Drosophila melanogaster: one gene and its partner. The protein of the gene in region 1 interacts with the protein of each later gene in a pairwise test. Each region holds a gene or a part of one and is shown on either strand. Other genes may lie near its edges. The genes, in order: EDTP and Cyp28d1.

Region 1 (5,058 bases):
ACCTGGCCACACGGATCTATCCACGGCTCTTCGAGACCGACAACTATGTATTTTTTCACATGCAACAGTTGCGCCTGATCGAGATGATCAGGGATCAGAAGATGGAGAAGGCCTTGAAGTTTGCCCAGAGCAAGGCAGCGGGCTTTTCCAAGGTCGATCCAAGTCACTACCACGAAGTGGAGCGGACCATGGGTCTGCTGGCCTTCGATCGGCCGGAATACAGTCCCTACGGGGAGCTGATGTACTACTCATATCGCCAAAAGGTGGCCGGTGAAATGAATGCAGCCATGTTACGCTGCCACGAGGATGAGAGTAAGAGCAAAGAGGAGCCCATGGAGCCAAGAATGATGTTCCTCATCAAGCTAATCCTTTGGGCCCAGGCCAAGCTGGATCGCGAGGGATTCACCGACTACCACAAGCTTGATCTTGGCCACGCGGATTTCGAGGAAGAGTTCCGCCGGAGTTTCCAGGGTTTCTAAGTCCATAAGCATACAATAATTGTCCAACGATTGTCGGTCGGCGTCTACTGCGAAACTTTTTAAATGTACGTTGATTTTTTTTTTTTAGCAAATCTACATATATAAATGTATTTTTTTTTGTGGTGAACCAACATAAATAAGTGTAATTTTTTTTGATGGATGTTGAATATTAAATATTTCCATGTCTTGATGTAAATTGGAGCAAACTCAATCTTATTATTCACTCGATTTTTTTCTGAGTCCTTTTAAGAGGATTGCTTGTTTTTGGTTGCTGCGATAAGACGAGGAGTAAAACTTATGAATTTGGAAAGCTCTTCAATTTCAATTTAAAGATTTCCAAATATATTTCAGGTAGCAATATTATCTTTAGCTGCAATTTAAATGCCATTTTGACCTTATTAGCTCGTATATTTAACCCATTTAATGGTTCTTACATACGTTCTCTGTAAGCTATAAACCTCATCGCCTGCCTACGTCATTTGCTTAGGTATTGTGACTTTGGCTGGGCGAACGCCTAATCTAATCGGTGTGGCTAAACTTAACCCTGAACCCCGAGGAGACTGGGAAATAAACAAGTGAGAGAGAAGCGCACACATAATTCACCCTTTGCACCCCATCAAAAATGCAATGCTTTGTATCAAGGGGCAGTAGCAGCGTTTTGTTTGTGCCTTCGAATAGCTGGCAGATAGATAAGGAATAGGAAAATACTTGTGGAAAATCAAATCGAAGGTTGGCGCCCTGGTTGGTGATAAGACCTAGCCATTGTTTGATAAAAACATACGTTTGCAACAAAGTTTGCGGTAGCGGTTAAACATTCACAAGTAAGTATGCACATATGTATGTATGTATGTACATATTTATGTGCCGATTGCAGCTGAACAAACCGATGTAAGATCGTCGCGGAAACGTGAGTTACGTGCCAAGTTCCCACTTGGCTTTCCTCGCTCTGTTTCCAGGCAGCCTGGCTCGGGGATTTGGCTTAAATATATTCACCAGCACTGGCATGCAAATGAGCAGCGGCTGTTGCCAAGTTGCCATTACAATTGTTATTCTGTGTTATTGCCGGTTAAGCGGGCGATAAGATGGCATTACACACTGGACTATTTAAAAGGCGTGCGTGACATTCGAGGGGGGTAAAATGGATGAACGGGTGCAAGGGGATGAGCTGAAGGCAAAAGACAAAAGTTGAATTCGAGTGCGTGTCGTGGAAAGAAAATGCACATTTATGCGTGGGTCAGGGGCGGGCCTAAAAAGGCCGTTGTTAGGCTTTTAATTATCGCTTAGCACAGCTTAGTGGGATATTGAGTTTCAATGGCAATTCGAGAACAAAAGCCATTAGGAAGTTTCCGGTTTCGGAAAACCTGCTTACTCGGGATTTCCTAGTTGAAATTGATTTAATAATCAAAATGAATGCAACTCGATAAGGAACTCTGAAAGCTGAAACTTAATATTTAATTCTTATCAATTAATTAAAAATTTGCTAAGAAACGGAATAGAAAAATCAATTAAATTAAATAATATTAGGACCATAAAATGTATGTTAATAGAAATTATACAAAAATACCGTTTATTGCTCATCTTATTTAAAAAAGATATTTTAATTAGTGATTAGTGCTCTTATAGGTAACAACCTTGATTGACTACCAAATTGGAAAAGCTATCCCGTGATTAATTCTGCTCTTTGAGAAAACGAACCATTAAGTCCTTCAAACGACATGTTTTACCGCCTATTGATTGCCATGAAAATGCGATTTTCCTCGCAGGAAGCTTAATGGCAGCCATTTTGAGTGGCTCAGTATTTTCGGGGCGCGGCAGAAGGAAGACGGCGAGGGAGAGGAGCGCAAGAAAGGGAAGAGAATAAGAGCAATAGGAGGACAGGACATTATGACGTGTCCTCGGTGTAAGCGCCACGCACACTAGCACAACAGGCATATCATGCATGGGTGTGTGTGTGTCTGCGTGTTTTTGCGGCGGCAGCACGTGCACGTGCGCCTAAATGTATGTCACACACACAGTCACAGACACAAGCACACACTGGTACCGTTAACTTACCGCCGTCCCTTCCTCAAAGGCCGCCGCCTCGAAGGACTTTTTTTCGAAAGTTTCCAATAGATCGTGTAGGTGCTGCTGCGTTACGTTTACCATGTGGTTTGGCGTCAGGCTGCACATTTTTGCGGCGCTGCATTTACCGTTATATTCCTTTATATCTTCTTAATCACACACACACACAGGCACTTAACACACACGACACTGGCAAAAGCACAAGCCCACGCACACACGTTTACGCTCGCAGAAAGACGCCGAATATGAACAATATTTCCCGTGACTTTTCTCTTCTCGCGTATTGTATTTTATCTGCTGCGTATTTGAGTCGCGTTTATCGCTTCTACGCCGTTTACACGTTTCGCTTTCGCGTTTGTTTGCTTTGCTTTGCTTTTTACGCCCTAGAAGACGGCGTATGCGACGTCATCAAATCTTTGCGGCCGCAAACGCAATTTAATTTTTGGCCCCTGCGCTTACGATTAGTGCTACTAGTGTTGCTGTCGTCGTTGCGCTCGTAATTCCGTTTGTATAAAAATGAGCTACGTAATATATTATATTCGCAACGGAGGAAAGCGACAAACGTCAAACAGCCGCGACTAAAAAAACAACATGAAATTGTAGTGGTGGAGAAACATCGATGACCCCCGATGCTTAATCGATTAGAAAAAGTTTTCTGTAATCGTTTGGTACTTGCCAGTGGTGGGCCAGCATTGTTGACTCAAACCCTGGTTTGAAACAACGGTGCCAGAAATATTTCTACATTTTGTCTTACAAAAAAGTTGATGATCCGAAAAATATTTTGCTGTATTGCCCCATACTTTTCCTGTTTTTTGTACCCTTTAATATATTTTGCTTTATATGTTCCAAGACATTATTTATTGTCTTGATAACAAATATTTTTTTTAAACTTTTGCTCCATAGAAAATTAAAATAATGTGATCAATAACAGAGACGTTGCATCTTATTGAATTCCATTTTTTTAGCAGTAAGCGTTTGGATCCGCAATTGATCCTTCACAAGCCGTATGAGTTGAATTATATCGAGCTGCTTTTGATCTCGAATTATGGTGACTTCCTGGGAGGTTTTGACGTCCCCTAAATCAAAAGATTGTTCATACGTATGAGACGGTCAAATTTCAAGGTTATTTGTAATACTTTACTTACCCTGCTATTATAAGTTTTAGAATGCTAGGCTTTAAAATAAAAAGCACGAATATGATGGTACCCTGGGACCAATTAAAGTAGTCAGCCACCATTAAAGCCCTAGCCCAAGCTTGCTGTTTGGTTAACAAAAAGGATAATATCTCAAAGCTCCACGACAAACCCATTAAGATGAAAAGTCGCAGGAATATAGCAAACCTATAAAAGATTACAAAAAGTGCCATTTGACATTATAGTTATTATCTTATAATATAATATAATTACATTTGTTGGTCATTTATCTGTTGGTTTGTTTGTTGCTTGTGGACAAGGCCTTTCACATTTTTCTTTATGTTATATATGTAAATCGCCGAAAGGACAAACATTATTATGTTGAAAGCGATTAGCAACAGCATCGGGCCATAGAAGTAGATCATGACAGTCATATCGCCAGCTGTTGGTTAACAAAACGAGTTACACCGTAATTGTAATTATAGGAATAGTAACTTACTGTAGATCCAACAATTTTTGCCGACGCCCACGCGGGGTCTCAACTTCTCGTTCTTAACCACCTGGTCAGCTGTATAGGTGATTGCAGTCATGATTAGCGGTATACCCCAGGCGTATAAGTTGTATGCACGGAACGGATTTTCTGGCAGCAATCGGTGCAAACAGTTAGAGGCTAGACTAAACTTAATCCGCAAGTGGATTCCAATCACAGAAAGCCAAAAGAACGCGGCCATGACGGAGAAGTAGCCCAGGAACCCTGATCATGATATCGAAATGTGAAATTAGTCGTCCTTTATCTTGTAATCGCCACAAGCAAACCTGCTGTAACGCAGAAGCCGGAGGAGTATTTCCACACGTTGAGGACCAGGAAGAAATAGCCCAAGAACAAAGAGGCCAAGTAGCAGATGAAACACTTTCCGTGCAGGTTGCGAAGCTTCTCGACATAGAGGTACACGCTGATCGTTAGGATTATGCATATCAAGGATATCACTATCGCTGTGAGAAAGGACATTAACTAAAAACCTTAAAGTCAAGCAGGGAATTCAGCTTACCAACGGTCTTCCACGTTCTGGAGTGCTCAGACGAAAGTGGACAGAAGTGGGGTGCAATTCGGATACTATCATCCTTAAATGAAAGATGCTGGACGCAGTACTCCCGCTTGCTCAGTTCCACTTTGTCCCAGTGACGCAGAAGAGAGCCGTTCTACAGAGATTCAAAAAAGGTTACGATCTTCAGAAGTGACAGAAACACAGGAAAGTAACCTCAAACAGAGTGAATTCATTGCCCGGCAGTTCGTGATTCAAAAAGTACATCCGGGGACATCCGGGCTTGGCCAGATCCGACTGCACGATCAGATCCTCCTTGAAGTGTCTCCTGACCACCGACCC
Region 2 (4,574 bases), on another chromosome or scaffold:
GGAGCAAGATAAGGTCCGCAAGGAAATTGGCAGTGCGGATCTGACCTTTGATCAAATGTCCGAGCTTCCGCATCTGGACGCCTGCATATATGGTGGGAAATTCTATCTTGATCTCTTGATATTCAGTTTCTTTAACTACATTATAAAATTTTATAATTTTAGAAACTTTGCGTTTGTTTTCACCGCAAGTTGCAGCACGTAAGCTGGTCACCGAACCCTTTGAGTTTGCGAACAAGAACGGACGCACTGTGCACTTGAAACCCGGAGATGTGGTTACTATACCGGTAAAAGCTCTGCACCACGATCCGCAGTATTATGAGGATCCTTTGACATTCAAGCCGGAACGTTTCCTTGAGAGCAATGGAGGTGGTATGAAAAGTTACAGAGACAGGGGTGTTTACCTAGCTTTTGGCGATGGACCTCGTCACTGTCCAGGTTGGTGTTATAAAAATTTATCTGAAAATCACATACTACAATAAGTCGATCTCTACATTTAGGAATGCGATTTGCGCTGACTCAACTTAAAGCAGCTCTGGTGGAAATCTTGAGGAACTTTGAAATCAAGGTTAATCCTAAAACCCGCTCGGACAATCAGATAGATGATACTTTCTTCATGGCCACCTTGAAGGGTGGTATTTACCTGGACTTTAAGGACCTTTAAATAATAGCAATAATCATAGTAAGCTTTAAGCTTAAAAAACTGGATAAAGAGAAGTTGTTTGCTCGAAATAACAAAAATTAAAATTAACCTTGATTAATGCATGATAATAAAAAAAAAATAAAATGCAGTAGAGATTTATTACTCAAGAAAGGCAAATGTTGCGGATGATCCACAACAAGGCTCGATCGAACATGGTTCGACAGTGATGTTGCATGCGCAACAAGTTCGATTGCTAGTGCGCAACATGTCGGTTGTAGGTTGGCCATCCGATTTTAAATACTTGCAAGATATAAGATTTAATTGAGATTTTATAATAAAAAGTAATAAGAATTATAGAATTATAGATCAAGGGGTGTATAAAGAATATAAAGAAATCGATTCACCATCATAGGCATCTCAAGGCTCAAGCTCAAGGGCAGTTTTGGTGGAGATCGTAAGAAATTTCGAAATCAATGTAAACGTCAAGACGCGATCGGATAATCGACTGAATGACATCTGCTTGACGTATTTTGAAGAGCGATAGTAAAATGGCTGAAGTGTTGTTGTAAGTGTTGATAAGATAATGCGCCAATTAAAAATGAAATCAGAAATTTGATTAACTACTTAGGTGCTACACACATTGTTTGTCCAGAGTATCTATACCCATTACTCGTTAAATGAAAATGGGTATGTTGTATTCCTAGAAAAGTATGCAACTGATAGATGGACCTTCTGAATACGACACATTGTTTTTTGTTTTCATCAAGCATCGCACTTTGCAATCCTACTTATTTATTTAAAAGTCGATACATTGCTATTTTTCCTTTAATTGTTTATGGTTTATGTATATGTCGTTTAATTTCACAACCGTTTATTCCATTTCTCTATGCTACTAAAACCGTTCCCTTAAAACACATCTTTATCTGCGTGCTTTAGATACATATGCCATGTACAATAATTGTAAGTTTGAGCACTTAGTGAAATGACAAGCTGAAAAGTTCTGTTTCATCGTCATATCATAAAATGGCTTTTCTTAACAGTTTTTGTACTACTACTTTGTGGCGCATGACCTAGGACTAGGTATATTGTAGCCCCTTGATCTTGATAACGAAATCAGGCATTATCTTCAAATGGTGCAATTTTATATACGACAAATATTAACAGCGGTGGTGAATGCAATTTGATCAATTTGTTTACTGGGTGAATCCATCCACTTGACTGGCGCGCAAGTTCAATTTAAATGACTGCGGCAGCTCAATTGAGTTCCAGTTGGTTTTCATCCGCGTTGGCGAGAGGTTGTGCCATGTGTCCGATTTCCACGGCTCTTTTTGTAATTGCGGCCATCCTGGCCTTGATCTATGTCTTTCTAACATGGAACTTTAGCTACTGGAAGAAGAGGGGCATTCCAACGGCCAAGTCATGGCCCTTTGTGGGCAGTTTTCCCAGCGTTTTCACCCAGAAACGGAACGTAGTCTACGACATCGATGAGATCTATGAGTAAGTGTATAGAGTTAGCTACGTTATCTGGTTACTGATTGCATCATCTCATTAGGCAGTACAAGAACACCGACAGCATTGTGGGAGTGTTTCAAACCAGAATTCCACAACTAATGGTCACAACTCCGGAATATGCGCACAAGATATATGTTAGTGACTTCCGCAGCTTCCACGACAATGAGATGGCTAAGTTTGTGAGTAGATTGCAAATACATACTGGTCTTAGGAGCCCATTTCATAAGTTAATTCACACAATAGACCGACAGCAAAACGGATCCCATTTTGGCGAATAATCCGTTCGTATTGACTGGTGAGGCCTGGAAAGAAAGACGCGCCGAAGTTACACCCGGACTTTCGGCAAATCGGGTAAGCTTAGGTTGCCCTCGAATTGTTTATTCAAAACTTATCTCGTGCTAATGTTTATTTTCACTGGGGGCCCTGATACCCTTATCAATTGAAGTGCTCCAATCAATTAACGCTCTGCCTCCCCAAAAGGTCAAAGCTGCCTATCCCGTCTCGCTGCGCGTTTGTAAAAAGTTTGTGGAATATATAAGGCGACAGAGCCTGATGGCCCCCGCCCAAGGACTAAATGCGAAGGATCTCTGCTTGTGCTACACCACCGAAGTGATTTCCGATTGTGTCCTGGGCATTTCCGCCCAGAGTTTCACGGATAATCCCACACCCATGGTGGGAATGACCAAGCGCGTCTTCGAACAGTCTTTTGGCTTCATTTTCTACACGGTGGTCGCCAATCTATGGCCACCAATCACGAAATTCTACTCCGTTTCGCTGTTCGCCAAGGACGTGGCTGCGTTCTTCTATGACCTCATGCAGAAGTGCATCCAAGTTCGGCGGGAAAGTCCGGCGGCACAGCAGCGAGATGACTTCCTCAACTACATGTTGCAGTTGCAGGAGAAAAAGGGACTGAATGCGGCGGAGCTGACCTCGCACACAATGACATTTTTAACGGACGGATTCGAGACCACCGCACAAGTGCTTACCCACACACTCCTTTTCCTGGCACGCAATCCCAAGGAGCAGATGAAGTTGAGGGAGGAGATCGGTACCGCCGAGCTGACCTTTGAACAGATAAGTGAGCTGCCCTTCACCGAAGCCTGCATCCATGGTGAGTTTTTTGGCGAAATCTGAAGTTATTTAGTATGCGTATAATATCTATATCTGCAGAAACTTTGAGAATTTTCTCACCTGTTCTGGCTGCCCGCAAGGTGGTAACTGAGCCCTGTGAACTGACGAACAAAAACGGAGTGAGCGTGAAACTGAGACCCGGGGATGTAGTCATCATTCCTGTGAACGCCTTGCACCACGATCCCCAATACTATGAGGAACCTCAATCGTTCAAGCCCGAGCGATTCCTGAACATCAATGGCGGAGCCAAAAAGTACAGAGATCAGGGTCTATTCTTTGGGTTTGGCGATGGACCACGTATTTGCCCCGGTGGGTAACATCATTTTTGAAACAATTAAAGTTACTAAAAAAAATCTATGCATAATTTGTAGGTATGCGGTTTTCACTTACCCAAATCAAAGCTGCCCTGGTGGAAATCGTGCGAAACTTCGACATCAAGGTTAATCCCAAAACTCGCAAGGATAATGAAATTGATGATACCTACTTTATGCCAGCCTTAAAAGGCGGCGTTTGGCTGGATTTTGTTGAACGCAATTAGTTATTCAATAATGTTACGACTTTATATTAAATATAGTTTATCCAGTTGCATACATGTTATATTTCCAAACACTCTTAATACTTTAATTTTGTAACTTAAAACCACACTTTTAGTCTCGACTTAGGGCTAGTTGCACTAGGGGCAGCACCTTGATAGAGGACAAGTCTGCCAGAATCGCTTCGATGCTATCCAACGAGGCCACCTGCATGATGCTCTCCTTTCGAAAGCTAAGAATGATGATGGCGAATAGAGGAAGGATCTCCAAGCTATCAAAGCCAAGGATCTGAAAAGGAAGGGATAAGTACTGCCAATAAGAACGGAGGTGTATTTCGTACCAGATCCCAGAGGACCAGCAATTGATCGGGAGGCAAATGTCCGGAAAACGCTCGCATAAGCCATTTGAAGACCACCCGCAGGCTAAGGAAAGATATGTCGTGAAATGGGTGAAATAGCTGTCTAACGAAAAACCCAATCCCAACTCACGGCTGTATCTGAAGCTCTCGGAAATGGGACCATAACTGCGGTTCGTATGTCTGCAGCAGCTTCTCGAAGAGCAGGCACAGACTGACAATCCCTTGAGGATGCGTGTTTATGGTGGTCAAGCGATGGCAGTACCGGATATAGAAGGCCCGGAATGTATAGTATAGACTCACCGGCGAGTCATACAGATAACAAAAGGGGGCGGCAAACATGCAGATGCCGTGGAAGGGCACCACACCCGATGGAGGACCTTCGTAGGTCTTGCCCTTCACC

What was found.
Region 2: the proteins of EDTP (region 1) and Cyp28d1 interact in a two-hybrid assay, tested with the Drosophila melanogaster proteins (one large-scale study listed by BioGRID).

What each region holds. Positions count from the first base shown.
Region 1 is NT_033778.4:17,441,805-17,446,862, forward strand, and holds the start of EDTP (Egg-derived tyrosine phosphatase), read right to left. Parts: upstream 3,135-5,058; 5' UTR 2,649-3,134; coding exon 2,532-2,648; intron 680-2,531; exon of another isoform or gene 480-679; coding exon of another isoform or gene 1-479. Other genes in the region: CG18467 (uncharacterized protein), read left to right, coding at 1-479; mthl4 (methuselah-like 4), read right to left, coding at 3,502-3,616, 3,686-3,880, 3,947-4,115, 4,173-4,427, 4,490-4,666, 4,723-4,873, 4,933-5,058.
Region 2 is NT_033779.5:5,208,559-5,213,132, forward strand, and holds Cyp28d1 (cytochrome P450 28d1), read left to right. Parts: upstream 1-1,901; 5' UTR 1,902-1,943; coding exon 1,944-2,137; intron 2,138-2,192; coding exon 2,193-2,331; intron 2,332-2,395; coding exon 2,396-2,503; intron 2,504-2,632; coding exon 2,633-3,263; intron 3,264-3,322; coding exon 3,323-3,592; intron 3,593-3,654; coding exon 3,655-3,821; 3' UTR 3,822-3,887; downstream 3,888-4,574. Other genes in the region: Cyp28d2 (cytochrome P450 28d2), read left to right, coding at 1-92, 163-435, 498-661; CG7742 (uncharacterized protein), read right to left, coding at 3,931-4,104, 4,157-4,238, 4,305-4,574. UniProt on the Drosophila melanogaster protein: May be involved in the metabolism of insect hormones and in the breakdown of synthetic insecticides.